2 linked regions of the Anolis sagrei genome follow. The protein of the gene in region 1 binds, or shares a complex with, the protein of each later gene. Links are inferred from orthologs where the notes say so. Each region holds a gene or a part of one and is shown in the gene's direction. Other genes may lie near its edges.

What was found.
Region 2: the proteins of CFTR (region 1) and GOPC are in contact, whole or in part, in an NMR structure (PDB 2LOB), measured with the Homo sapiens proteins. The link is inferred for Anolis sagrei from reciprocal best matches to the Homo sapiens genes CFTR and GOPC. Residues at the interface, in NP_000483.3 of Homo sapiens: Val1475, Gln1476, Asp1477, Thr1478, Arg1479, Leu1480; in NP_065132.1 of Homo sapiens: Gly298, Leu299, Gly300, Ile301, Ser302, Ile303, Thr304, Gly305, Glu308, His309, Glu317, His319, Thr347, Lys348, His349, Lys350, Glu351, Val353, Leu356.

Annotation. Positions count from the first base shown.
Region 1 is NC_090025.1:130,800,098-130,815,584, reverse strand, and holds the start of CFTR (cystic fibrosis transmembrane conductance regulator), read left to right. Parts: upstream 1-7,318; 5' UTR 7,319-7,377; coding exon 7,378-7,430; intron 7,431-15,487. UniProt on the Homo sapiens protein: Epithelial ion channel that plays an important role in the regulation of epithelial ion and water transport and fluid homeostasis. Mediates the transport of chloride ions across the cell membrane.
Region 2 is NC_090021.1:89,455,196-89,470,501, forward strand, and holds the start of GOPC (Golgi-associated PDZ and coiled-coil motif-containing protein), read left to right. Parts: upstream 1-9,189; coding exon 9,190-9,495; intron 9,496-15,306. Other genes in the region: nephrocan-like, read right to left, coding at 1,940-2,084, 8,977-9,191.

The DNA of each region.
Region 1 (15,487 bases):
ACTTACTGTATCCACTAGAATAAATTAGAGGTGGCCCACTGTAACAGACCCAGAAGTCAATTTGCTCCTATTCATACCATACAAATTCTGCCTAGACTGCCTAAAGTCTGGTCTTGAAAAAAAAGTATTTTTGATGTTAAATAGTGCTTAAATGATGGATTTTGCCATCCCTGGAGGCATTTGAAACAGCAGAAAATGTCTGAGGCAGCGTTACTCAACCTGGGGGTCAGGACCAGTGGAGGGGTCATGGGGGGAGGGGGTGTCAGAGGGGTCGCCAAAGACCATCAGAAAACACAGTATTTTCTGTTGGTCATGTGGGCTCTGTGTGGGAAGTTTGGCCCAATTCTATCGTTGGTGGGGTTCACAATGCTCTTTGATTGTAGGTGAACTATGAATCTCAGCAACTACATCTCCCAAATGTCAAGATCTATTTCCCCCTAATTCCATCAGTGTTCACATTTGGGCATATTGAGTTTTTGTTCCAAGTTTGGTCCAGATCCATCATTGTCTGAGTCCACTGTGCTCTCTAGATCCAAAACCCAAGGTCAGTGCCCACCAAACCCAGTATTTTCTGTTGGTCATGGGAGTTCTGTGTGCCAAGTTCGGTTCAATTCCATTGTTGGTGGAGTTCAGAATGCTTTTTGATTGTAAGTTAACTATAAATCCCAGCAACTACAACTCTCAAATGACAAAATCAACCCTTGATCCAAACCCACAAGTATTCAAATTTAGGCATATTGACTATTTGTGCCAAATTTGGTCCAGTGAATGAAAATACATCCTGCATATCAGATATTTACATTGCAATTCATAACAGTAGCTTAATGACAGTTATGAAGTAGCAATGAAAATAATTTTATGGTTGAAGGTCACCACAACATGAGGAACTGTATTAAGGGGTTGCGGCACTATGAAGGTTAAGAACCACTGGTCTGAGGAATCAAAGGGCCCATAAGTCCAACTTGCCAACATTGAAATTCTAACTAGTAGAGGGACTGAAAGTGCTTCTCACTCGTTTCACATGGGCTTAGTCCGGTAGTTACTTGCCTTGTAAATTTGTCATGTTCTGCAAATAAGTGGCTTGTGGTTGTTGTTGATCCTGTGGCAAAGCCTTGAGATGCTTCTAGACATGAAGCTTCAAGTTGAGTGAATTAAAAGACACTAGACAGCTATTTTATCCTTCCTGTCTTATTGGATTTCTTGTGCTAAGAAAAATAAGCAGTGAGAAAACACAGATTACAAATAAAAGATAATGTCTGAACAGCGAGCAAAATTCTGTGAATGAAATATAATAGGTTGCACAATACAAGGTTTGTCTGAAAGCCCTCTGTAAGTATAATCGCAGGGTTTAATGTGAGAGGTTTGCTTCTAGATAAAACCAACAAACTCCCTGAAATAAGACAACTAGCAGAATAGGGATTTAATGTTTCGCTACACTTCTTCTTAAAAGTTGCAATAAGTAATTTCAGCAATTTTCTTCTCATTGTAAGAAAATTTTTGAATAGAGAGTGAACAAAGAAAACAATACAACCTTGGTGGTCAGGAATTTTGGATATGGCATTTGTTTAATGGTTGACTTACAAATTTATGGCAAAGAAAATGATACTTGGTCAGGCCTTGGTGGTAGGGTTATGTGTTTGTGAAACGTTCATTGTTTCGTATTCCGTTTCTGTATGTAAATAATTTTTTTAAAAAAAGAAAAACTTTGAATACCATGCAGTTTTTGAAAGGCTATTTGCAATTTTGGACTTATTTGCACAAAATTCACAACCTTTTTGTACAGAAACCAGCATTTGCTGTGCAGAAAATAGAATTTTTTTATTGAGAACACAGCCAAAAATATGTTCTGCATAGGAAACAATATTTCACAAAAATGATGTGCAGGAATTATTGACCTAGGTGGACCAAGGGTCTGACTTGGCTTCCTATATTCCTAACTGAGTATGACACGAAGTTCAAAACGAACCCCTTTTATTTTGCCATTTTATATAAGGAGTACCATTTTATTAAGCCATTTTATAATGGTATTGTGCATCCATAGATTTTGGTATCCATTGGGTACCAAAGGCCCACTTTAGTATACACTGCACTATACAGAAATGTGTGGGATCTGAAGGGTTTATTAGACTGCAAACACATGGAAAATTTTGCACACTGGGTGCAAAAGGGACTCACCTTTGTAAAGCCAGACAAAGTAAAGTAAGTAAAGGTAAAGATTGCCTCTTGCCATAAAATCTAGTTGTGTCCAACTCTGGGGGGTGGCACTCATCTCCATTTCTAAGCTGAAGAGCCGGTATTATCCATAGACACTTCTAAGGTCATGTGGCCAGCATGACTGCATGGAGCGCCGTTACTTTCCTGCTGAAGCGATACCTATTGATGTACTCACATTTACATGTTTTTGAATTGCTAGGTTGGCAGAAGCTGGGGCTAACAGTGGGAGCTCACCCTTCTCCCCAGATTCGAACTGCCAACTTTTCAGTCAGCAAGTTCAGCAGCTCAGTTGTGCCATGGGTGGCCAGACACAAACTAAAAAATTAGAATGATAAAAGATAAGCACAGGAGCCAAAAGGACCCAAAAGCCAGTAAAAACAAGCCAGGTAAAAGAAAATCACCCTAGACATGCATATTTCTAAGCTATGCATGGAATATCTCTCTCTGTTGTGAAAGAATACTCAGTAGGTTGATATAGGTGCAGAAATTAAATAGCCCAGCTATCCCATCAGAAGGAAACTGCTTAATAAAGTTGTATGACCTTACTGAGATGGACAAATTGACAGTTTTGATTAAGGAAAAGTCATTAAATAGTTTTAATAAGGATTGGGAATTGACTTGTTTTTCTGATGGATTATTGAGGGAAATTATCTACAGCAGAAGAATAGCAGAATTAAATAATGTGCAGAAGCTTGTTTAAAGTATATTCTAGAGAAAGTATGATAATTTAGTAATTATAATCATTAGTTCAGAAGTCAGATGTCATTTGTCTTTCTCCTTGGGTTTAATGGTGTGCTAAATTTGGTGTATGGTGTTCATGTAATTTGTAGTGTTCATAATTATAGGTTGTAAATGTGGATGGTTTTTATTTTTTGTAATCTTGCCTTATATTATACAGTGAGACCTTCCTATTTGTTGGGATTAGGGGCACAGTACCCCTATGAAAGAGGAAAGATTACAATTTTAATTTTACAAACCCTATATATATATTTTAATCTAAGAGAACATCTTTTTGAGTCCTCCAATGCAGCTCATGTGAATGGGATCTAGGAATCTTAGGCTGGATTTATGCTGCCATACAATTCAGTTTCAGAATGTCAGATTAACTGCATTGAACCGGATTTTATGAGTCTACACCAGTGTTTCTCAATCTGGGGGTTGGGACTCCCAGAGGGGTTGTGAGGGGATGTCAGAGGGGTCACCAAAGACCATCAGAAAACACACTATTTTCTGTTGGTCATGGCAGTACTGTGTGGGAAGTCTGGCTCAATTCTATTGTTGGTGGGATTCAGAATACTCTTTAATTGTAGGTGAACTATAAATCCCAGCAACTACAACTTCCAAACGTCAAGGTCTATTTTCCCCAAACTCCACCAGTGTTCACATTTGGGCATATTGAGTATCTGTGCCAAGTTTGGTCCGGATCCATTATTGTTTCAGTCCACAGTGCTCTCTGGATGTAGGTGAACTACAACTCCAAAATTTTCACAAAACCCTTAAAATATTTTCTCTTGTTCATGGGAATTCTGTGTGCCAAGTTTGGCTCAATTCCATCACTATTGGAGTTCAGAATGTTCTTTGTTTGTAGGTGAACTATAAATCCCAGCAATTACAACTCCCAAATGACAAGTCAATCAACCCCTCCTCAACCCCACCAGTATTCAAATTTGTGCGTATAAGGTATTTGTGCCAAATGTGGTCCAGTGAATGAAAATACATCGTGCATATCAAATAATTACATTATGATTAATAACACTAGCAACATTACAGTTATGAAGTAGCAACAAAAATAATGTTATGGCTGGAAGTCACCACAACATGATGAACTGTATTAAGAGGTCACAGCAGTAGGAAGGATGAGAAATACTGGTCTACACTGTCATAGAATCAAGTTCAATACAGCCAATCTGCATTCATTAGAGCGAGAGAGATACTCACATGAACACCTCAGCAAATGAGAAGCCAAAAGTGGCAGGCTAAAACCCAACACCTTAATCAGTGGCTGAGAAACTCCCTCCTGGGCACACAGAAGATTGGGTGACCTGGAAGGCGCTGAACAGGCTGCGCTCTGTTTCGGGGCCACAAAGTGAAGTTCACAACATGTGATTGTGGAGAAGAGCAAAACACAGACCACCTATTGCAATGCTGTCTGAGCCCTGCCACATGCACAATGGAGGACCTTCTTATAGCAACACCAGAGGCACTCCAAGTGGCCAGATACTGGTCAAAGGACATTTAGCATTTTAAAACTTTTTTTGTGTTTTTAAATGCATTTTTACTGTACCCTCAACTCGCTTCTGACACGGTAAATAAATAAAATCTGCATTCTGAAATGACATGAGATGGCAGTGTAGATGCAGCTTTAACAGACTACCACCAGAACATGAGGCAGCAGTGTGATGTGGCAGCTACAAAATCCAATACGATTCTAGGCTGCATCAATAGTAGTGTTGTGATCAAGGAAATTCACAGCACCACTCTATTCTGCAGCACCTAGAAAACGGTTCGGGTCCAGACTACCGGGCTAACTGCACCTTAGGGGAGGCCCTCCTCTTGTTCTCACCCCCATCTCAAACCCGGATGGTGAAAATGAGAGAGAGGGCCTTCTCTGTAGTTGCCCCTCACATCTGGAACTCCCTCCCGAAGGAGATCAGAGTTGCCCCGTTGCTGTCCTCCTTTAGGAAACAAATACAAACTTTCTTATGCACTCAGGCATATGGAGATGTAATCTGATCTTAGCTGGCTCCGATTGTTTCCTGTCTGGAACTCCCCTGTTTTCTGAGTGGTGTTCTTTATATATTTTCTGGTTTTAGAGTTTTTTAATTCTGGTAGCCAGGTTTTGTTCATTTTCCTGGTTTCCTCCTTTCTGTTGAAATTTTCCACATGCTTATGGATTTCAATGGCTTCTCTGTGTAGTCTGACATGGTGGTTGTTGGTGTGGTCCAGCGTTTCTGTGTTCTCAAATAATATGCTGTATCCAGGCTGGTTCATCAGGTGGTCTGCTATGGCTGACTTCTCTGGTTGAGGTAATCAGCAGTGCCTTTCATGTTTCATGTCTGGGCAATGCTGTGTTTGATGGTCCCTATGTAACCTTGTCCACAGCTGCATGGTATATGGTAGGCCCCTGCATAGGTGAGACGATCCCTCTTGTCCTTTGCTGGATGTAGCAAAGGACAGACTACAATGTCAGACTACACTGAGAAGCTGTTGAAATCCACAAGCATGTGGATACTTTCAATAAAAAGGAGGATACCATGAAAATGAACAAAATCTGGCTACTAGTATTAGAAAAAAACTCTAAAATTAGGAAAGTAAATAAAGAACAACACTCAGAAAACAGGGGAAATCCAGACATGAAACAACTAACACCTCCGAACAAAGGATTCCTCACATGCATGAATCAGCAAGGCCTTGAAGTGGCAAGGCTTTGCAATGCTTATCAGGATGATTAATTGCAATATTCACACTTGCTTCCAATCAGTGGATTTTAACCTGTGGGCTGCAGACCACCAGTGGGCCGCATGGACAAAAATCCAGTCTGCGAGCCTCCTTCCTCTATATTTATTTTATTTTAATTTATTTATTCTATTTCCACTCCTTTCGTGCCACCTGCCACTCCTTCCCTGTCGTTAACTATGGCATATTTTTTTATCAGAAACTAGAGCTGATGTGGTCTATCCTATGCAGTTTTCTGAATCAGCACCTCAAACTGAATCTAAAGTTGACCAAAAACTGATTCGTAACCCTTTTGGTACTAACGTTGGAGAGTGGTCCCTGGTCAAAGTGCTCCTTGGGCAACATGGCCCCTGGTCAAAGTGGTCCCTGGTCAAAGGGCTCCCTCGTCAAAGGGCTCCTTGGCCAATGTGGTCCCTGGTCAAGAGGTCCCTGGCCAAGTGATCCATGGCCAAAGGGCTCCCTGGTCTACGTGGTTCCTGGTCAACGTGGCTCCTGCTCATAGTGGTCCCTGGTCAAAGCGGTCCCTGGCTAAAGGGCTCCTTGGCCAACGTGGCCCCTGGTCAAAGAGCTCCCTGGTCAAGAGGGCCCTGGTCAAGGGGCTCCTTGACCAATGTGGTCCCTGGTCAAGAGGTCCATGGTCAAAGTGGTCCCTGGTCAAGTGGTCCCTGGTCAAAGAGCTCCCTGGTCAAAGGGCTCCCTGCTCATAGTGGTCCCTGGTCAAAGTGGTCCCTGATCAAAGTGGTCTCTGTTCAAAGTAGTCCCTGGTCAAAGTGGTCTCTGCTCATAGTGGTCCCTGGTCAAAATGGTTCCTGGTCAAAGTGGTCCCTGGTCAAAGTGGTCTCTGATCAAAGAGGTCCCTGCTCAAGTGGTCCCTGGTCAAAGGGTTCCTTGGGGACACAAAGTGGTATTTGGTCAAGTAGTTGGGAACCACTGCCTCCAATAGACAAGAGTTCTTTCTCTCACCCTGAGCCTTTCACAGAGATATAAACCTCCCTTGCCTATTTTCCAACAGACTTCACAACTTCTGAGGATGCCTGCCATAGATGTGGGCGAAAAGTCAGGAGAGAATGCATTTGGAACATGGCCATACAGCCCGGAAAACTCACAGCAACCCAGTGAAAGCCTTCGACAACACATGTCTGAATTGTGTTACATACTAGTGTAATTCTATAGCAGTTCAAATGGCATCAAGAGTGCACTATTGCCACAATATCCACCTGTACTGAGTTTGGCAATGCTTTCCAACAGGGTTCTGGGACCTTGATCTTTTCATAGGTATCACGAGAGGAAAGAACTGTTGATGTGTTGAGCCTGCCGGTGAGCATAATGTAGAAGAGCCTTGGCAAAGCTCTCCATGGGGTTGCACCGGGAAGGCTTGGCAGAGGAGGAGGAGGAAGAAGAAGAGGAGGAGGCAGAGGCAAGAGCGCCTTTCTCAGCCCCGAGAGGCACCTGTCGAGGCGCTTTCCTGCGGAGGAGTTCGGGGCGGGCAGGCGAGGGCAGGCTTTTGAAGCCCGGCGGAGTCCGAGAGGCGGGGAGAAGGGCAGGAGAAAGAGGGAGGCGGGGACCTCGGCCAGCCTTAAGGGGGGAGAAAAGCGCGACCCATAGGGCGCCGAAAACCCTTCTCCTTCTCCTTCTTCTCCTTCTCCTCCTCCTGCGAAGGCCAGCTCTCCCTCTCCGCCTCTTGCCGCCTCCGAAGCAGAAGGAGCCATGCAGAGGTCGCCGCTGGAGAAGGCGAACGTGTTCTCCAAGCTGTTCTTCAGGTGAGCGGGGCTTGGGGGGAAAAAGAAAGAAAGAAAGAAATGGGGGAGATCGCCCCCAAACTGATCCTTTTCGCTTTGGCAAGGAAGCAAGCATCACCCCTTGAGCCCTTTGCCCGACTCTCAGGGGCGCTTTGAGGAGGGATTTGTGTTGTCCAAAGGAATGGGAATAGCATTGTCCGAAGCGAAGTTATGGATTGTTTGGGAGGAGCGCGGGGCTGCCTCCCATCTCCTCCTGCTTCATCGGGAGCTGGCCTTGGCAAAGAGCGGCCAAATGCCGATAGGTCAGTCCTGGAAACAGTTGGCCGGAGGAGAGGGAAGAGGAGGTTGGTTCCCACAGGAGGAGAGAGAGGAGAAAGAGGAGAAGGAGGAGGAGGAGAACAAAGTGAAGAAGGAGTAGGAAGAGAAGGAGAAGGAGGAGGTGAAGGAGGAGGAGGAAGAGGAGGGGAAGGAGGAGAAGAGGAAGAAGGAGGGGAAAGAGAAGGAGAAGGGAGTCCTCTTCCATCAACTCCTTGCTCCCGTCCTTCTCAGTACCCTTAGCTCCCTCTGATCACTAAGAAGGGGGAAAGGAGGAGGAGGAGGAGGAGAAGGAGAGAGAGTCCCATCATCTCCTTGCCTCCTTCCTTCTCAGTGCCCTTAGCTCCCTCTGATCACTAAGAAGGGGGAAAGGAGGAGGAGGAGGAGAAGGAGAGGGAGTCCCATCATCTCCTTGCCTCCTTCCTTCTCAGTACCCTTAGCTCCCTCTGATCACTGAGAAGGGGGAAAGGAGGAGGAGGAGGAGAAGGAGAAGGAGAAGGAGAGAGAGTCCCAACATCTCCTTGCCTCCTTCCTTCTCAGTACCCTTAGTTCCCTCTGATCACTAAGAAGGGGGAAAGGAGGAGGAGGAGAAGGAGAGAGAGTCCCATCATCTCCTTGCCTCCTTCCTTCTCAGTGCCCTTAGATCCCTCTGATCACTGAGGAGGAGGAGGAGAGGGAGAAGGAGAGAGTCCTCTTCCATCAATTCCTTGCCCCGTCCTTCTCAGTGCCCTTAGCTCTCTCTGATCACTAAGAAAGTGAAGAAGGAGGAGACGGAGGAGAAGAAGGGGGAAAGGAGAGAGAGCTCTTCCATCAACTCCTCGCCTCCTTCCTTCTCGGTGCCCTTAGCTCCCTCTGATCACTGAGGAGGAGGAGGAGGAGGAGGAGGAGGAGGAGGAGGAGGAGGAGGAGGAGGAGGAGGAGGAGATTGAGCCCTCTTCCATCAACTCCTTGTCCCCTTCCTTCTAAGTGCCCTTAGCTCCCTCTGATCACTCAGAAGGAGGGGGAGGAGGATGAGGAGAAGGAGAAGGAGAGAGAGAGCCCTCTTCCATCAACTCCTTGCCCTTGTCCTTCTCAGTGCTCTTAGTGCCCTCTGATCACTGAGAAGGAGAAAGGAGGAGAAGGAGAAGAAAGGGAAGGAGAAGGAAAGAGAATCCTCTTCCATCAACTCCTTCCCCCCTTCCTTCCCGGTGCCCTTAGCTCCCTCTCATCACTGAGGAGAAGGAGAAGGAAAAAAGGAGAGAGATTCCTCTTCCATCAACTCCTTGCCCTGGTTCTTCTCAGTGCCCTTTGCTCCCTCTCATCACTGATGCTTTGTAATGCTGGCAGGTGCTGCTGGGGCTGGATCTACACTGTCTTATATCCCAGGATCTGATCCCAGATTATCTGACAATGTAGAAGCATATAATCCAATTCAAAGCAGATAATCTGGGATCAGATCCTGGGGTATAGAGCAGTGGGGATCCAGAATAAACCATACTTTTCAAATTCATGCAGTTTTATTGAGCATCCCTCCCCAAGTTCAAGTTCACCTTTGGTATAAATTGCCTTTTGGCTCACTTGCGGGATGTACTCCTTGCTCATTCTGACACAGAGCCCAAAGGCTAGGGCTCTTTCTACACTACCCCCTAAAATCCATATTATCTGCTTTGAACTGGATTATATGGCAATGTAGACTCATATAATCCAGTTCAAAGCAGATAATGTGGATTATCAGCATTGATAATTGGATTATATGGCAGCATAGAAGGGGCCTTGGTCTACAGCAGGGGTCCTCAAACTAAGGCCCAAGGGCCAGATACGGCCCTCCAAGTTCATTTACTCGGCCCTCACTCAGGGTCAACCTAAGTCTGAAACAGCTTGAAAGCACATAACAACAACAATCCTAACTCATCAGCCAAAGCAGGCCCACACTTCCCATTAAAATACTAATAAGTTTCTATTTGTTAAAATTGTTCTTCATTTCAATTATTGTATTGTTTTAAAGTGTTTTTTGCACTACAAATAAGACATGTTCAGTGTGCATAGGAATTCATTCATGCTTTTTTCAAATTATAATCTGGCCCTCTGGATTATGATTTGAGGGACTGTGACCTGGCCCTCTGTTTAAAAAGTTTGAGGACCCCTGGTCTACAGTGGGCCAGATCCCAGGATCTGATCCCAGATTATGCTATATAACACAATCTTTTGTTCCTGAAGTTATAAAGGTCATTTTCTCATTGGTTCTATCATACAAACATGGAAAAGTACATCCTGCAGCACATTTTGCTATAGTTTTTCAATGAATATCTCATCAAGTCTCAACTAATTCAACACACTTTGGGGCAGCCACAAAAATGAAGTTTCTGGAAAATAGTAACTACTTTCAAAGTACTGGTAAAAATGTTGAAGCTTAACCCAACAGTGTGAAAACATAATAGAAGTTCGATTATTGTCATTTTAAAAAAATTAAATAAAAAAGATAACTGGAAACAAAAACAAAACAAAGTAACTACCGCAGAATTAAATGGGAAATAACACTTTCAAAAACCAGGAACAGATTTTTTTTCAAATTTTGTTACATAATATTATCTGCTTTGAACTGGATTATATGAGTCTACACTGCCAGATAGTCTGGGATTAGAAGATAATGGGGGATCAGATCCTGGGATATAGGGCAGTGTAGATCCAGCTGAAAAAGGAGAATCCTGACCACAGTTCATCAGGGATTGACTCAGCAAAGGGCTCCAAGTTCTCAGCTTGGACATGGGATGAATGCAAGCCAGTCTGCATTTCTTGTTCCATAGGGAACCTTGTTGTCAAATCTAAAGTCACTTTGGATCAGAACCATAACCATAACAGATAAGAGAGCTATTCCAATACAAAATGAAAGTCACAGATTGGTGGCACCTAGCTTGAAAACAGTTCATGTGAAAGAGATCTAGGAGTCTTAAAATCTGCACAGCCATATAATGCAGTTTCAGATTTTATGAGTCTACACTGCCATGTAATCAAGTTCAATGCAGCTAATCTGCACTTTGAAATTGTATGAAATGGTAGTGTAGATCCAGCCTTAGCAGACTACCAGCTGAACACGAGTCAGTGTGATGTGGCAGCTACAAAAGCCAATGCGATTCTATGTTGCATCAATAGGAGTATAGCATGGAGACTGAGGGAAGTCATAGTCCCTCTCTATGTTGCTTTGGTCAGACCTCACCTGGAATACTGCATCTAGTTCTGGCCACCACATTTCAAGATGGATGTTGAAAGCTAACGTGTCCAGAGAAGGGCAACTAAAATCATCAAAGGTTCGGAAGCCAAGCCCTATAAGGAGCATCTTGGGGAGCTGGGTATGTTTAGCTTAGAGAAAAGAAAGCAGAAAGGGGAGTCATGTTTACATAATTGAAAGAATGTCACATTGAGGAGGGAGCAAGCTTGTTTTCTGATGTTCTGGAGACTAGGGGCCCTTTCACACTGCCCTATATTCCAGGATCGGGTCCCAGATTATCTGTTTTAAACTGGAATATATCTGTCTCCACTGCCAGATAATCTGGGATCAGATCCTGGAATACAGGGGCAATGTGGAAGAACTCTAGGACTTGGAGCAATGGATTGGACTAGATGTCCTCTGTGGACTCTACCAACTCTATGATTCTATAATTTTAATAAAGCTGTAAGAGGGGCTGCAGCCAAAGCTTTTTTTTAGTTCATCTTAAGTTCTTTAGTACAGTTTGTATGTCATCTTATTTCTTTCACAGGGTACATCTACACTGTAGAATTGATGCAGTTTGACATCACTTTAATTGCTATAGCTCAATGGATTTCTGGCAGTTGGAGTTGGGTGAGGCATTGGTCCTCTTTGACAGAGAAGGCTAAAGACCTTGTGAGGTGACAACTTCCATGATCCCAAAGCACTGAGCCATGGCAGTTGAAGTGGTGTCAAACCAAACTATTTCTACAGTGTAGATGACCCTGAGACATCAAGGTAAAGAGGAAAGGGGCTTTCAGGTGTTCTTCCATCATGCCAACTCAAAGGTGGCTGAATGTCAGAAAAGTGGCTCTCATATCATGGTCTTGCATGAAGTTCCCTGAGTATCCTGTGTGTGATTTCTGTTTTAAGCTAGAGGTAGGAATCATGTGCCATTGATGCTGCAAGTTCCACAGACTCCTGGAACATACTGGGCAAGAGGGGCTTGATTCCTCCTTCTCTAGACTAGGGGATGAGGGATGAGCTCCCTTGAATTATCTAACAAAAATTGGACCATCAAGATTCCCATCCAGTTGAGCCTTCTCAGGAATTGTCAGTCAGAAGTATACTAAATGATTTAGCATTACGAAATGTTAAGAAGGCTATTGTAGGAGTAATCAAGGTTGTCTGTGAAACATTATTTGTTAACTTACAGGGTAAGTTACCCTGAATTCATGAACAGCACTTCTAATTACACATTGCTCTCCAGATTGTAGGATGTTTCAGTGATAGTTTGCCCTCTCCCAAAAGTGGGATCATAGAATCATAGAGTTGGAAGAGACCTCATGGGCCATCCATTCCAACCCCCTTCAAAGAAGCAGGAAAATTGCATTCAAAGCACCCCCGACAGATGGCCAAAGGCCTCCAAAGAAGGAGCCTCTACCTCACTCTGAAGCAGTGAGCTCCACTGCTGAACATCTCTCATAGTTAGCTGAGTTTCGGAGGGGGGGGGGGGCTGAGTCTGAGTGAAAGAGGGTCTAGCCTAGCAAACCTTTTGTATCATTACCCCAATATCCCCATGCATATGGGATATATTGAGTATGGTGATCAGATCATGATATGAATAAACGTAACAGTTTAAATAATGCACCAATAAGGCCTTTTCGCGAACCACCATGAAAATTTTGGGGGGGGGGGGGGGCTGAAGCCCCCTGAGCCCCCCCCCCCCCCGGCTACATGCCTGACCAGGGGTCCTCAGACTTTTAAAGTATGCACTATAGGTTGAAAAAAACATGAACAAATTCCTATGCACACTGCACATATCTTATTTGTAGTGTAAAACAAAAAAACCCTAAAAGAACAATACAATATTTAAAATGAAGAACAATTTAACCAGCTTAACCTTACCAGTGTTTCAATGGGAAGTGTGAGGCTGTTTTTAGCTTATGAGAAAGTCAAGTTAACCAGGTTTGTTGTTGATGATGCCTTCAAGTTGTTTCAGACTTAGGGTGACCCTAAGTGTAAAGTTTAGGGCGTGGGCTAGGTAAATGACCTTGGAGAGATGCATCCGGCCCGTGACCCTTACTTTGTGGACCCCTGCTTTACACCTTGTCTGTAACTCCCAGCCTTTTTCTGCATGGAGTTGTACTCCAACGACATCTGGAGAACCATTTGATTTCCAACCCTGCATCAATGCCAAAATAGTCCGGGCAGAACTCTGTCATATGGCAGGGAGATAGCTTGAGTCTTTTGTCCTTCATGGTATGGAGGAAAGGAGAAGTATATCTCATTCTGTCATAACACTAGAACTCAGGGTCATGCAGTGAAATTGATTGGCAGCATGTTCAAGACAAGCTTGAGAAAGTACTGCTATATCCTGGTGTTCATTTATAGAATTCATGGACACAAAATGTGGTAAAGGTCACAAGATAGCTTTAAAAGGGGATACACTCAGAGCTTGGGGAAAATGTTATCCTACAAGATCCAGAAATAACAAGTGGCATGAATACTGGCCACTCCTGCTGGAAGATTATGGCATATGTAGTCCAGAAGTGATTGACTCTTGATAAGCTATCTTAATTAAGGAAAGCTCTATTTATAGGCCATGGTAAAGTTGGCTATACGAAATCAGTATGTCAGTAAATAATAGTTCCCAAAGAGTGCTCAGTGGGAGAACGTTGCCTCAAGAGCTATGGATATGCTTTCTGAAGAGATCTGGCTGGGCTCTGAGGATGCTGGACTAGAAAGGCCTCTAGTTTGACACATTTGGACTCTTCAGATGTCCTCAGCTATTTACAGGTTTTAATTGCTGCCCTTTCCAAGCAGTTTGCTTTCTGCTTGTGTGTAAATGCCAGGAGACAAGCAATCTCTGGATTGGTTTTACCTTCCAGACACACCAAGGAACTAATTGGTCCACGTGTGCCAAGATAAAGGGTGGCAATTCTAGGAAAAGGCTAATACTAAGGTACATGATGTAACTTAAGGGCACATTTATATGATTATGATCTTTATTAACTCAAAACAACTATCATCCCCATTTCTGTGCTCATACAATTAGAGATTAGAATCATTATTCCACACACAAGCATGCATTGAAAGAAAGGGAAAAACATCCACCTGTTTACTTTTGCTCATGAACAACCATACCTACACAGGCGCAGAAAAGGCCAAAGTGCGTGATCAGTTAATAACATAACAAATCCAAGCTCCAAGTATTTTATTTATTTATTTATCATGTCATCAGCAACCATACCATTGTGTTACAATTCTAACAAACACACAGGTTAAAAAGACAAAGAAAAAAACCCACAGATTTTGCAAACTTGGTAGTTGGTTAAATGTCCTTTGACCAGTATCTGGCCACTTGGAGTGCCTCTGGTGTTGCCACAAGAAGGTCCTTCATTGTGCATGTGGCAGGGCTCAGGGTGCATTGCCAGCACGTCAACGACTTAAATCAAGACATAGTTTTCTTAGATCTACAGAGACACTCGCTGGAACACCCCAGCAAGCGAGAGTCCAAAAGTGGCAGGCCCAAACCCAGCACCTCAACTCCAAGTACAAAACCCAGTCTCATGAACATATAATGCAAAAACTTATAAAGCACAAAAAATGGAAGCTGAAACCAGAGAATAAATAAAACAGTTATAATAGTAATATATAACCGCAATTAAAATAGCAAAGATGCAAGAAGTCTCAAAAAGCAACAGTGTTGGCATTAGGCATATTTCCCCTGGGAAGAACATTCCATAACCAGGGGCCCCTACAGAAAAGGACCTTGCTCTAACATCCATTTGCTGAGAAGAAGATCAAGAAGCACTCAATGAAGGTTGACCTTAAGGCACAAGTAGGCATATAAGGGAGGGAGTGTTTATTTATTTACTTCCTTTATACCCTGCCTTTCTCACCCCTGGACACACAGAAGACTGGGTGACTTGGAAGGCACTGAACAGACTGCATTCTAGCACCACAAGATGCAGAGCCAACCTTAAGAAATGGGGCCACAAAGTGGAGTCCACAACATGCAAATGTGGAGAAGAGCAAACTACAGACCACCTATTACAATGCAGTCTGAGCCCTGCCACAAGCACAATGGAGGACCTTCTTATAGCAACACCAGAGGCACTCCAAGTAGCCAGGTACTGGTCAAAGGACATTTAATATAATGGCAAGTTTGCAAACTTTGTGTTTTTTAAATACATTTCAACTGTACCCTTGGTTTGCTTCTGGTACGATAAATAAATAACCCCGCAGGGGACTAAAGGCGGCTTACAAATTCTGGCAAAAATTCAATGCCGCAAATTCAATGTAAGCATAAGAATAAAAATTTACCCCAACAAACTAAAAACAATTAAAACACAGAAGGAGATAAAACACATAGAACAATAAAACAAGTTGAAAACATAAAGTGCCACACTGAGAATCCCTATGTTGGAAAACGACTATTTTGGAATTCCTGTTTTGGAACATTAGACTATAGCTGTGCTTTCCCCGCTCTGTGAGTTACTTACTGGTTGCAGAACTCGCAAGACTTCTCTTAGAACTTTGGATGTGTTCTTCACAGAGCACCTAAGTACAAACCACCACATCCACGGAAGCATCT
Region 2 (15,306 bases), on another chromosome or scaffold:
TAAAGGCTTATTTATTTCATTATTACTTTATTCCAGAGATGAGAGCCAGGCATATACATTACTATATGTAGGACTGGAGAGTTGATGCTTTGCTTGCAGAGACACTAGGAAAACTATGGGATTGGAGAGCTGATGTTTTTAACTGAGCTATGTGCAAATTGTGCCTGGTAACACACTGTATTTACTAAAGTATAACATGCCATTAATTGTAATGCGCACCTCAATTTTGAAGGTACGCATTGCAAAAAAAAATGTTGCCAAATGTAATGCATGACTTCCTTTTGCCTGTTGGCTATCCTTTTGCATGCCTTGGAACAGGCGACAAGGAAGGAGAAGCCATGCCCTACCACCAGGCTATGGCTGATGAAAACACCAGTCTTGGCCTGACATGCAGGCAGCAGCTTCTCAGCTAAGCCCTTTTTCACATTTTCAAAACTGAGGGAGAAGTTTTGAAGGCCTTGTGAATGTAGACATTTGGGAAGCCATGCCTGTCAAGCTGAGGCTGACAATTTTGCCAGCCTCAGCCTGATGGAGGAGAGCAGACAGGTTTACATACGTGATTCTAACATGCCTTCAAATTTAACATGCACCTCACTTTTGGATATGTAATTTAGCCAAAAAAGGTGAGCATTAGATTTGAGAAAATATGGTATGTAGTGCTGCTGAGGGTGATAGCTGGTGGCATCTGTATCAGTGGAGTGGTGAATCCTTCTGAATAGTACTCCAGACTTTAAAGAAGCTATTCAAGTTGCTAAAACTATTTTGGGTGTGGGTTTCAGCACCTTGGATATCTCCTTTAGATTTGGAACTAAAATCTGGATTAAATTCACCATGCCACTGATATAAAAGCCACCACTATCACTGCCATTGCCTGAATCTACTTGCTAGGAAAAACTGTGCCGCTCTTAATGCTTCAGATGTTTTGGACTACTATTTCCATTATCTCTATTGGCCACGAAAACATGTTTGCTGAGTGTATTATATATGTATTGCTGACATTGGAGTATCTACCATACTGATACAATGACGATAATATACTTTTAACTGCCCTAACTCATAGTTTGCCACTTCTGTTATTGTTTTTCAACAATTGGTGCATCATGATGAAGAAGCCAGTGAAGCTTCAAAGGCTTGCAGGCTTCATCATCAGACACACTTACATTTATCAAGTAAACCTTGCACTGTCATTATTTAATATCAGGGTTCCATCACTCTCTAACCACTCAGTAAAGTACATAACTTGTTTTTAATTGACCTTTTCCCCTAGTGTGAACATAGATTCAGTTTAAACCCATTTTACCCAATTATCTCACCTTGGCTTTTGGCCAACAAAAGGCATCTTAAAAATTAAAAAATGCGTAATTGCTTGATGATAAACAACAAGAATGACCTCAACATGCTACACAGACATTCAAACTTCTACACTGTTTTCTGTCAGAGGTACTCTTTTCCAAACCCACTCACACCACTTTTGTGAAGTTTAGATGGATCACATAAAAGGTGATATATTTCCAATTGAACTAAACTTTGAATTCCAGTCCAGTCCACTGAGAAGTAAGGTTGTACTAAATTTGATAACATGTGGCTATGTGAGGATGTAGGTCTGTCATGACCTACTATATGGGAGAAAAACATGGTTCCTGATTTCTTAAAATAGGGGCAAGAATCATGGAGTTCTCCAAACGCTGTGGACTGCTACTCCTAGCATTACTCATTACCTTTGCTGGCTGCGGCTACTTAAACTTGCTGCCCAACAACATCTGGAGGAACTTCCCTCCCTTGTTTTAGAAGCTAAGAAGTAGACGTCTCTTTACCCTTTAAATTTCCCCTACCATAATGATATACTTTGTATGTAACTCTTAATTACCTAACCAAATGAAAGGGAAGAATAGATGAAATGGGGAGGGGAGGAGGAGAAAGAGAGAAGAAACCATTCTACCTGGAGCCGTTTTATTTTGCTGTGGCTGATATGAATTCTTCTGGAAGTAGATGCAATCCCTCTAGGAATTTCTCCAACTTGGTAGCATTGTACCCTTCTTGCCAAGTCACAGCTGCATTTTCGTGGGCACATGGGGATGACAGCCCTGTAAAAGTGAAACAAAAGTAGTAATAGATAAAATTGCTTCATTTTCCTAAAGATCCTTCAGTTCAACCAGCTAGCTATGAACTGCAACATGAACTTAAGCAACCATGTGGTCTTTTATACCATAACACCTGATAAAAAGATAAATACAGCTGTGTGTTCTTTTTTTTTTTTAAGGGAAGGGGGAAGCAGAAAATACCATCTCTTATGTGGGTTAAAATATTAGCAGGTGTCACAAAGAGCAAAAAGTTTAAACAATGATAAGGAATCTTTATTTTGTCTGGCATGGGAAATTGATCTTATTTATTGCCCGATGTGTAATCTGCAAACACTTCCATTATCGGTAGTTTCCTCATTTGGCTAAATGTGACATCACAGAAGGAGCTGGGAGAAAAGATAAAGAGTTCTTTTATAGTGGGCTATAAAATATTTGGATATTCAAAACCCACCAGGAAAAAATACTCTGAAGCACCCAGTTAATTCATTCTTAGTTAAATGATCCAGAAAAAACAAGAACACTTATTTTGTTTCACATATGCTTTCCCATAGTTTAACAATAGTCATTGCTGAAATGAATTTTTAAAACTGATTAAAGCTCATAGTTGATATTGTCTCCTGGATAAATCTGTTGCTCAGATAACTTTACCCTCTTTTTCACTGTCTCACAGTCACCCACTGTGCATCCGTTCACTGACCCAAGTATGACTATATTATAGGCTGCTTAAGTCTGTTTCCATTCTTGCACCTTTGCTGTCTCTGAAACAGACAGCAATCCAGTGGTGAGGCCATTCATACCATCAAACTACTGCCATGGGGAATATTGTACTTGCTGCCCTGCTTTCTGTTGAGCCATTGGCTCAAGGAAACAAAACAAAAAAAACCCCCCATAACTCTGATGGATTTACTTTTAGCCTCCTCTTTGCCCTCAATGATTGGTCCATATGGTCCATAAAAACCAAGTTATTGCTCCACGCAGTTCTCCTCACATCCCTCCAGATTGCAACCATTGGATGGCCAATGATAAGGGATTGGGGAGACTTGTATCTAACAGCATCTGAATGACCACAGTTTGCTTATCTTGTACCAGCTGACATGACACTCTTCTGAAGAAATGCCTGATATAAATGTCAGTAGCTCTGCCACCAAAGCAAATGAGCAGTTTCCTATAGGCAACATTTTTATGCCATAGTCCAGATCAGTGTATTGCAACCGTTATGAACAGTCGTGTTTAAGTAGATCCTGGTTGCACACCTGCCATTTTAGCACATTTTTGTTATTTTTACAATGGTATGTTTTCCTCTTTCTCTTTTGGGCTGATCCCACATAGAATACAGTAACTTCCCATCTCCACTTCTTAATAATGTACAGTATTACCATCTTGATCTGCTGTTTCAGTCTGTAATGATTTAGAGCAGAGTTTCTCAAACTGTACTCCTTCAGATGTTTTGGACATCAGCTCCCACAATTCCTAACAGCTGGTAAGCTGGCTGGGATTTTTGGAGCTGAAGTCCAAAACAGAGCAGAGTTTGAGAAACACTGATTTAGAGGAATTCACTGCATTGTAATATTAGTGCTCCTTGTCTGCTTCCCAGCTGTCATTCGATAAAATTCCTTAACTTTGCTGTGTTTTCTTTACGTTTGACATTATTCTTTTGTTGCTTTATGTTTATTTAAAAAATCAGTGGATTTCTGTGTTTTTAATGCACTGTGCTGTAATGCAAATGTCTGGTTGCTCCTGACACGATAAATAAATAAATAAATAAATAAATGCACTGTGCTGAAAACTTTGGCTTAGAAGTCCTCTGATAAAGACAAAAATGTAATATAAGTCATATTGGATTATTTTAATGACAGGATCTGAAGGTCAGTATAGGAGTTTTTATCTGAATTGAGGTGAGATTTCAGAGAACACAATGTACTTAAAAGAAATTGACAGGGATTTGTCCTTGGATTCTGGTATTTGACCAAATTGCACCTGTCAGTGATAAAAATCTTTATTACATGAGAGTGTTTGTCACACAGCTTCAACCAGTGATTCTTTATGAACAGGATTTTGTTGTCTTATCAAGAACAAATGCTGCACCCCTCTACACACAAAGGCAGAACAAAAATTCAAAGGGAAAGAACAATTCAGAGGAACTGAACTGTCTCACTAGCCTGCAGAGCAACAGGGAGGCATTCCAGAATGTTTAACGCCTCCCATCCATCTGCTTAAGGTTGCAGTCAATGCACACCTGACTGTAGCAGAACTTTAAAATGCAGTTTTGTGTTCTGACTCCATCCAGTGTTTGTAATACTGTATTTTTTCTTAAGCGATCTTTTATGGTGACATTGACTAGTTGCTTTGATGTGTTTTCTCCCACAGAAGTCGCTTAAAGATAAACTTTAAAGCATTCTCTCCTCGGCCTTGTTGCATTCCAAGCAAAAAGGTTGGTGTTGAAGATGGGGGTGAAAGAGGAGGAGATTACTTTTGCTGGACTTTGTAGCCCCTTTCAAATAATTGCACTTAACATTTATTTTCCTAATAGAGTTAAGGATGTTCAATCAACAAAAATATTTTGAAAAATGGAAACTTGTACTAGTCCAAAAATAGTGTTGAATTAGCACAAGTCCAATACCATTTGGACTTGTAATAGTCCAACATTGGACTTGCATTAGTCCAAAAAATAACTCCACATATTTTTTTAAGTGGCATGGATAGAAAGGAGGAAATTTCCACTGGTGCATCAGGTGTATATGACGATAATCTAGTACATGTGGAGAAGGAAAGTGCCAGTTCCTCAGTAATTCAATATTATGTTCCCAGTAATGAGGAAATCTGATTTCCTCACAGCAGGTGCACTAGGTGGCTTTGTTGGTAATCCAGTGAAGTATTGCCCTGGATAAACCAAAGCTGACATCTAAGCTGTCTCAAGGGGACAGTGCATAGTTCCGTTAACTTTTCAAAACATATCACAGTGTACTTCATTTTATCATCTGTTATTTGGCTTATAACCCACCTTTCCACCAACACTGGTAATCAAGGTGGCTGAAATAATAAAATACTCATCTAAATTAAAGCAAATTCAGCAATAAAAACACAGCAATAACAATAAATGATAATTTAGTTGGTTAGCGGTCCCTACAGCCAATAAATAACTGAAATGCCAAAGGGCTTTCTTTCTACCAACAGAAGGACAAAGAAAAGAGAGAGAGCATGCCGCTTTCAACAAGGAATGGCCATTGTGAGATGACCTACTCTTCCCCAACAACTGCCCCTCTCATGGCTCATAGACAATGGGCACATCCCACTGGAATCAAAATCTGACCAGGTTTGTATGAATGAATGCTGCCTTTCATGTAGCCTGGCCCAGATTGTTCAGGGGGTTATAGGTGAACCATACGTACATCATAACTGTGTCTGTAAATAGCAATATCTGGGGGAAAACACTTATTTTGATAAATTTCTAGAATATTTAAGTTTCCCTAGTCTAACTTTTCAAAGCTTTGGATAGCCAGTGTAGCTGACACACCAAGCGAATCACATTTGGAACTGGCCCTGATCAACAGCTTGTCCAGAAGTCTGTGGCCAAATGGAGAATTCTAAACAGGCTTCACTTAGAGAATGCTGGAGAACAGTGGTTCTCAACCCTTGGTCCTCCAGATGTTTAGGACTTCATTCTTCAGAATTCCCGATCACAAGTTATGCTAGCTGGGGCTTCTGGGAGCTGAAGTCCAAAATATATGGAGAACCACTTCTGTAGAAGACCAATAGGTACCGATCCGGTGGGAAGGTAACTGCGCTCCATGCAGTCAAGCCAGCTACGGACAACACTGGCTCTTTGGATTAGAAATGGAGATGAGCACCAACCCCCAGAGTTGGACACGACTGGATTTAATGTCAGGGGAAAACCTTTTTACCTTTACCTTAGAAGACCAAATGGAGCATGACTAATACACATGGCAGAGCAAAAAGGTGTGATTATAGTCTTCAGAGCTTTCTGGACCATTTGCGATAGGAGGTTTTCACACCATTCTTTAGATATATATTTTTTTGTCATGTCAGGAGCAACTTGAGAAACTGCAAGTCGCTGCTGATGTGAGAGAATTGGCCGTCTGCAACGACGTTGCCCAGGGGACGCCAGGATGATTTAATGTTTTTATCATCCTTGTGGGAAGCTTCTCTCATGTCCCCGCATCAGGAACTGGAGCTGATAGAGGGAGCTCATTCGCCTCTCCCCGGATTCAAACCTGCGACTTGTCGGTCTTCAGTCCTGCTGGCACAGGGGTTTAACCCACTGTGCCACCGGGGGCTCCATTCTTTAGATTAGTGCTACTGAAAATAATGGTCTATGAAGCACTGCTGACCTATGAGATATCAGCTACTGGTCTGTGGCAAGTTTCTAGGAAAGTTTGCAATGATAGAATGGCACATATGATTACAGCCCTGGGTACGTTGGGGAAATGCTGATGTATTACATCAGCTACTTTAGTTACAATTTAGACAGAATCATAGAGTTGTTACCCAAGGGCCACCCAGTCCAACCCCCTGCTTTCAGGAACACACAATCAAAGCACCCCTGACAGATGACCATCCAGCCTCTGTTTAATACCTTACGAGAAAGAAATACCACCACGCTTTGAGGCAGCACTGTGATGTGTGAAGATGTGTGTCACTCCTCTGGTCTTCCAGATCCCTTGTGACACCCATTTTGGCCACAAAATGGAGTGAATTGTTCACATGGAACCTTCCAGAAATAGCAAATCACCATTTTGACAACCAGAAAAATCAAGAGCATTTTTCATCTTCACTCTCTTAAGGTGAACTATACACCCCTGCAACTACAACCCCCAAATGTCAAGGTCTCCAAACTCCACCAGAGCATATTATGTATCTGTGCCAAGTTTGGTCCAGATCCATCATTGTTTGAGTCCACAGTGCTCTCTGGGTGTAGGTGAACTACAACTCCAAAACTCAAGGTCAATGCCCATCAAACCTTCCAATAATTTCTCTTGGTCATGGGAGTTCTGTGTGCCAAGTTTGGTTAAATTCCATCATTAGTGAAGTTCAGGATGCTCTTTGATTGTAGGTGAACTATAAATCCCAGCAACTACAACTCCCAAATACCAAAGGTCTATTTTCCCCAAACTCCACCAGTGTTCACATTTCGGCATATTGAGTAATTGTGCCAAGTTTGGTCCAGATCCATCATTGTTTGGGTTCACAGTGCTCTCTGAAAGTAGGTGAACTACAACTCCCAAACTCAAGGTCAATGCCCAACAAAACCCTTCCAGTATTTTCTCTTGGTCATGGGAGTTATGTGTGCCAAGTGAATGCTCTTTGAGTGAAGATGAACTATAAATTCCAGTAACTACAACTCCCAATAACAAAATCTACTCCCCCCCCCCCAACCCCACCACTATCCAAATTTGGGCATAATAGGTATTTGTGCCAAATTTGGTCCAGTGAATGAAAATCCATCTTGCATATCAGATATTTACAACGGGATTTTGGCCTGTATCAATAGGTATATAGTGTCTATATCAGGAGTCCTCAAACTTTTTAAGCAGAGGGCCAGGTCACAGTCTCTCAAACTGTTAAAGGGCCGGATTATAATTTGAAAAATATATATGAATGAATTCCTATGCACACTGCACATATCTTATTTGTAGTGCAAAAAACACTTAAAACAATACAATAATTAAAATGAAGAACAATTTTAACAAATATACACTCATTAGTATCTCAATGGGAAGTGTGGGTCTGCTTTTGGCTCATGAGATTGGATTGTTGTTGTGTGCTTTCATTTCAGACTTAGGTTAACCCTAAGTGAGGGCCGGGTAAATGACCTTGGAGGGCCGCATCCAGCCCCCAGGCCTTAGTTTGAGTACCCCTGGTCTAGATCCAGGGAAGCCATTCTCCCCCTCTACTCTGCTTTGCTTAGACCACATCTGGAATACTGTGTCCAATTCTGGGCACCACAATTGAAGAGAGATATTGACAAGCTGGAATATGTCCAGAGGATGGCGACTAAAATGATCAAGGGTCTGGAGAACAAGCCCTATGAGGAGCGGCTTAAAGAGCTGTGTATGTTTAGCCTGAAGAAGAGAAGGCTGAGAGGAGACATGATAAGGGCCATGTATAAGAATGTGAGAGGAAGTCATAGGGAGGGGGGAGCAAGCTTGTTTTCTGCTGCCCTGGAGACTAGGATGCGGAACAATGGCTTCAAACTACAAGGAGAGTCCCCCTGAACATGAGGAAGAACTTCCTGACTGTGAGAGCTGTTCAGCAGTGGAACTCTCTGCCCTGGAGTGTGGTGGAGGCTCCTTCTTTGGAGGCTTTTAAACAGAGGCTGGATGGCCATCTGTCAGGGGTGATTTGAATGCAATATTCCTGCTTCTTGGCAGGGGGTTGGACTGGATGGCCCACGAGGTCGCTTCCAACTCTTTGATTCTAGGATTCTATGATTCTGAATTGTCCAAGATAGATGTTAACTTAGTCATCTGTTAACTTAGGACACCCAATGAATTCCTTGAGGCTTTCAGCTCTGTGATTCTATGGTTCAATGGTTCATAACAATAGCAAAATTACAGTTACGAAATAGCAACAAAAATAATTTTATGGTTGGGGGTCACCACAACACGAGGAACTGTATTAAGGGGTCGCGGCATTAGGAAGGTTGAGAAAACCTCAGGTCCTCCTGCTGATTGGGACTTCGCTTCCCAGAAGCCCCTGTCACCACTGCCAATTGCCAGGAATCCTGGGAGTTGAAGTTCTAAACAGACAGAGGACCCAAGGTTGGTTGGAGCCGCCCCTTCAAACTGCGCAGCAGCGCCCCTTGCGGCCGCAGGGGAGGGAGGCAGGAAGGGAAGCTTCCCGACCGATCGATGATTCGGAGCTCGGCCCGTCCCACCTGGCCAGCGGGTCTCCGTTGTGGCAGGCGAGGGAATCGCTCGCTCGGGGTCTCCCGGCTGACAGGAGAGGAGCCGCCGCTCCCGCGCATGCGCCGTGGGGAGTGCGCGAGCGAGCGAGTGAGGGAGTGAGGCGCAGGGAGGCCAAGGCGGCCCGTGGGTCGGTGAGTGGGTGGGTGAGTTGGCGGAGAGGCTTGAAGCACCAGTGGGGCGCCATGTCTGGCGGGGGCTCCTGCGGGGGGGCGGGCCCCGGGGCCTGCGGTGGGGCAGCGGCCTCCTCGTCGGCTTCGTCCCCCGGGGGCGGCGGCGGGGGCGGCCTGTCGATGTTCCGGTGGCTGGAGGTGCTGGAGAAGGAGTTCGACAAGGCCTTCGTGGACGTGGACCTGCTGCTGGGCGAGATCGACCCGGACCAGGCGGACATCACCTACGAGGGCCGGCAGAAGATGACCAGCCTCAGCTCCTGCTTCGCCCAGCTCTGCCACAAGGCCCAGACCGTCTCCCAGATCAACCACAAGCTCGAGGTGAAGCTGCCTTCCCTTTTCAGTCTCTCACGCGGGGGCTTCCTCCGAGGAACCAAACGCTTGACACACGCTGCCCACCCGTCCCCCTGATGCTCCCTCCACACCCCTCTTTCATTGAAATACAAACACCAGGGTCGAACCAAGCACCTCCCCACAGATCATGTTAAGTGGCAACAGCACCCTTTAGAGCAGAGCCTTCCAAACTTTTCAGGAGATGGTACACTTTTTTTGCCAACATAATTTTGCGACACAGTAATTCAGTTTTATTCACAAACTGGAGGTTATAACAGGCATGGGCAAACTTTGGCCCTCCAAGTGTTTTGGGCTTCAACTCCCACAATTCCTAACAGCCCACCGGCTGTGGGAGTGGAAGTCCAAAACACCTGGAGGGCCAAAGTTTGCCCATGCCTGTTATAAGAGATAGTGACACATATATAGGTTGTTAATAGTGAAATCTTAGAATCATTGAGTTGGAAGAGACCTCTTGGCAGTCCAACCCCCTGCCAAGAAGCAGGAAAATTGCATTCAAAGCACCCCTGATAGATGGCCACCCAGCCTCTGTTTAAAAGCCTCCAAAGAAGGAGCCTCCACCACACTCCGGGGCAGAGAGTTCCACTGCTGAACAGCTTTCACAGTCAGGAAGTTCTTCCTCATGTTCAGGGGGAATCTCCTTTCTTGTAGTTTGAAGCCATTATTCCGTGTCCTAGTCTCCAGGGCAACAGAAAACAAGCTTGCTCACTCCTCCCTATGACTTTCCCTCACATATTTATACATGCTCCTCCTCTCAGCCTTCTCTTCTTCAGGCTAAACATGCCCAGCTTTTTAAGGCGCTCCTCATAGGTTTTGTTCTCCAGACCCTTGATCATTTTAGTTCCCCTCCTCTGGACACACTCCAACTTATCAACATCTCCCTTCAGTTGCGGTGCCCAGACTTGGACACAGTGTGATTCCAAGTGTGGTCTGACCAAGGCAGAATAGAGGGGTAGCATGACTTCCCTGGATCTAGGCACTATAGTCCCATTTATGCAGGCCAAAAACCCATTGGCTTTTTTCTCCCGCCGCATCACATTGTTGGCTCAAATGTATAGGGACACAACATATTTCATGAACATCTTTCTCTCTCTGAGATATGATTCATTGCTTATTTCACCTTGACCCAGAACTTTCTCATTACATTTGTGTGACACACCTACACACTGCGGCTGACATGCTAATAATATTTTAAAAAAAAAAACTTTATTTGTAGACCACCCTCTCTCCCCAATAGGACTCAGGGTGGTTTACACACAAGAAAGGCAAACATTCAATGCCCAAGTCAAATACAAACATTTTAAAATCAACAGATTAATACCAAAATAATAACCATAAACTTATGACAAAAGAGAAATTGACAGGAAAATAAGGACCAAATACAAATAATCGAATAAAACTAATTATAATGCTAACATAAATTAACCATTTAGACATAAATCCTAGAAAAGGCAATTAAAATGACTATCAAGGTTGTTCTTCTCATATACCATAGCAGCAGTGGAATAGGTTAGGACTGTCCTAATCCTCCTCCTCTTCATACGCCAAAGTGCACATGTGCGTTTTCAAGAGGAGAGGAGGGTGGGTGCTACTTTTAGTTCTTTTGGGAGGGAATTCCACAGATAGGGAGTGATCATGGAGAAGGCCTTCCCTCTTGTTCACACCAACTGCACTTGTGATAGGGGTTGGACTGAGAGGAGGGCTTCCTCTGCTGACCACAGTGCACGGAATGGTCTGTATGGGGAGATATGATTAGACAAATAGCCTGGACCCAAACTTGGACCTCTAACAGTTTAAAGGTCTGCTTTTTTAAAACAATATTTTAATTAAGATTTTCATAAGTAAATAAAATAGATATTTAAATGAGGGAGGGAAGTGATGTGGAATAGGATGGTGTTGGGGAAGGGGGAAAATGAAGAAAAAATGCTTCACAACCCTTCTTTCTTAATGCACAGAATTCAAAATTGACTTCTCACTCTCCAGCCCAAAGCATAATCATCTTCTCATTAAAAGGTTTTACAGGATTCCAAAATACTCCAAAGTTGTCCACATGGGTGGCTGAAAGTGTGACACCTTTGTTCCCTGTGTTTTATACACAAAATTATTTTAAAATATCTTGTATAAATATCCTTATATAAAAAAATCCATCCAAGACACTTCTGTCCCCAAGCATTTTGGATAAGGGACAAATGGGTATTGGGTTTTGTCTTGGGTCATATTATCAAGGTGTCTCATCATGTATGTATGTGCATATGCATATACATATGCAGGTATTCCAAAATCCAAAAAACAAAAAACAAAAACCACTTCTGGTCCCAAGCAGAAGTACCATCTAGCATAGAGTCTCAACTTCTGCCTGTTGAGTAAAGCAGGTAAAGCTTAATCCCCAAAGCCCACAAATATCATTATATTTTCCTTCTTCTTTATGAAAATTGTCTCATGTTTTTAGACATTAAAGATGATTAGAGGTGAATGAAGTTCAAGGGGAAGGAATAAGCAGAGAATAGCTGCCCGAGTTCAGTTCCGGGATGAGAGGAATAGGAAATGGGATGTTGGTGTAGGAGTCATACGTGAAAGAAGTAATGTGCAGAAGGAAAATGACTTTTCTTCACAGCTCCGAAAAGTTGCTTTTTGGAATACAAGCTCCAGAAGGTGGGGAATTCTGGGAGCTGCAGGCCCCAAAAGTAATAACCCCAAGCTCTGTTCCCCCACTCCACCTCAAGTCATAGGGAGGAGTTCATTTTCTTCTGCTGGTGTTTAATGGCAAAGCAAGGCCATGAGAACACGCCATCTCATTTCAACCCTTCAAATGGGATTAAAAGATACCTTATATACATTTTTCATGAGTAGCTGATTGGTGAGCAAATTGGTCTAATCTGGCCATAGCTAAGGGAAGACAATGTGTTGACCACATCTAAGTAGCCAGTGGCACCCTAAAGACAAAGAACTTATGGGGAGATAAACTTATAGGAATTTAGTTTGTTAAACACAACTAATTGTCCAGTGTGGTGGCTTTGTCGTGCTTAAAAGTGTTGCCCTTGGAATTGAAAAAGCCTGGGTCCAAGGTTTCTGAAACTTTGTTGCTTGGATATTGTGAGTTGGAGACTCAAAAGGGGAGGTAAATTTTAGATACAAGTATCATACTAAGATTTCATGCTTTCCCACCTCAAAATATGTACAGGTTGAGTATCACTTACGCAAAATGCTTGGGATCAGAAGTGTTCCATATTTCAGATTTGTTTGGATTTTGGAATGTTTGCATATACATAATGGGATATCTTCAAAATAGGACCCAAGTATAAACATGAAATTCACTAGTATTTCATATATACATTGTATATATAACCTGGAAATAATTGTATACACAGTATCTTAAATAATGTTGTGCATGAGACAAAGTTTGGGTACATGGAAGCAAAAGTATCACAGTGGATGATTTTGAATTTTGGAGTATTTTTATTTTGTTCTAATTATAATAATAACTGTTATTTGTTAGCTGCCTCTTGGGGGGTACAACACAGTTAAAACACCCAGATAAAACATATTACTGCAAAATTCAAAATTGCAAATAAGGGATAGTCAACCTGTATAATAAAAAGTGTCCCCTCCACTTGGATTTGGAGTTTTTGAAATAAAGGTTTAGATGTAGTCTTGAATTGCTAATAATATTAAAATGAAGTTCTCTGCCTTATTCATGGAACAGTGGCAGAGCAAGTGCATTTGTAGATAAAACATCCCAGGTTCAGTTCTTAGCATCTTCGGTTAAAACTTTAGGTATCAGGGGATGGAAAATTTTGTCTTCTTTCTTCCTGAGATCCTGGAGGACCTCTGCTAATCAGAACAGGTATGATTGTAATTGATGGTTAAGTTATTTGTCCTGACAAGCAATGTGATATGACTTGGTGTGCTCTTTTATAAAGCATAAAAAACCCAGTATTGGGGGAAACGTGGTCAGCTATATCATGAAGTAATATGGGGCTGTCACTTGCAGATTATTATTGAATACTGTTGAGGGTACTAAACATAAAGAACAAGCATCCCACACTATATGAAATGGGTGTTTTTCAAGTAAGAGTGGAGATGCTGATTGAATTTCGGGCTCATGTACCAAGATGTCCAGGTTGGACCTTGAAGAAAGCATGCTAAAGAGCTTTGTATATATGAAAGCTACTGTGTCCAAAATCTGATCTAAAATACATACTCTCAGAAATTCTAAGTAGGTTTCAAGTTTTTCCAGTGATGTGAGGATAAGCAGACAGAATACATTTGCAAAAATGATAGTGGTATAATTTCAATACTGAACTTCCTTCATATAATTTGGTAAATACTTGCAGAGCCAGAAAAAGTTTATGTTGCAAGAATGCATTCTTTCATGTGTAGTTATGGGGCTATGCCTATTAGGGACATCCCTATGATCCTGACTTTGCTCCAACTTTCATTTTAAAAAGCTCTCATATATATTTATTTTATTACTAATACTATATATCTTATGCCTTAACTTTTTGAACAATTTCCATTTAACTATAGTATTAAGAATACTGCTACAGAAATGCCAACTTTTGTAAGGTTAGTGAAAAAGAGCATATCTAATTCATATTTGTTAACTGCCAAGTGACCATATGAATGAGAGACTTTGAAGTCACAGTGTTAACAGCTTTGCAGTTCAGATCTTGCCCACTCAAGGCTGTGGCTTCCTTAAGTGAGTTTATCCACCTATGGTATTAGTCATAGTCATATCCCAGTAACTGTGTTTCTTGGGTTTTTAAAGTGCAGTTAAAGAAAGTCAATATGCTACCGAGATAGGTCACTATATGTCTACTGAATGAGTTTGAAAAAGTAAGAAGTAGCTTGGTAAATAATAATTCTGGAACATATCCAAAACAAACAAAGCTGTTTTGAGAGGTGAAAAATATAAAAGCCATTCAAAATATGTGAATCTAAGGATCCATCTACACCAAAATGAATGAATGCAGTTTGACATCACTTTAACTGCCATGGCTCAGTGCTGTGGAATTGTGGGGGTTGTACTTGAAGCTTTAAAAGAACTTTCACATTCTTTGCTGTTGTTTCACCCAACTACAACTCCCAGGATTTCATAGCATTGAGCCATGGCAGTGGTGTCAAACTACATAAGAGGTCAGATGCAGAAATGGGTGCTCTCGGGTAATTAACAATTTAGATCAGCCTTTTCCAATCTTTTTTATTGTTGCATATTTTGAAGTGCTACTCCTTTCTGCCTTTGACAGCAGATCACAAGTCACAGCAAATTAATTTTCTCTCCCAATATCCAAAGTACCTGGAAGGATACTTTGTACTTTGGAGGAGGAGGAGGCCAGTTCCACATAAGATGAGCAGTGCTTTTGTCAACTATTGTTCTAATTATACAGCTTTACATATGTTCTTTATTGTAATGAATTTCCAGATCTGGGAGCCAGTTTAATCTCCGTGTGAACCTGGAAGGTTCTAGAATGGAGTTCCTATCTCTGTCTTCCCCAGAAGTCATATGTAGCTGAACATCTTATTAAAATGCATCTTCTCCCATCTTTGAAGTTCATCATTTCAGCATGGGATTGCTACATTATTTTTCTTGGCACTCTGTATATATTGTTGGAGACAATTCAGTTTTAATATGCATGTGTGCAAACATTGCAGCAAAGCATAAAACTTGATGGGAAAAATTGGTATAAATGTAACATCGGGAAAATAAAATAAATATTTTGACAAATTTAAGTTGTGTTTGCAACGCTTTAGAGAGGCTGGTTGTAGTAAAATTGATATCTG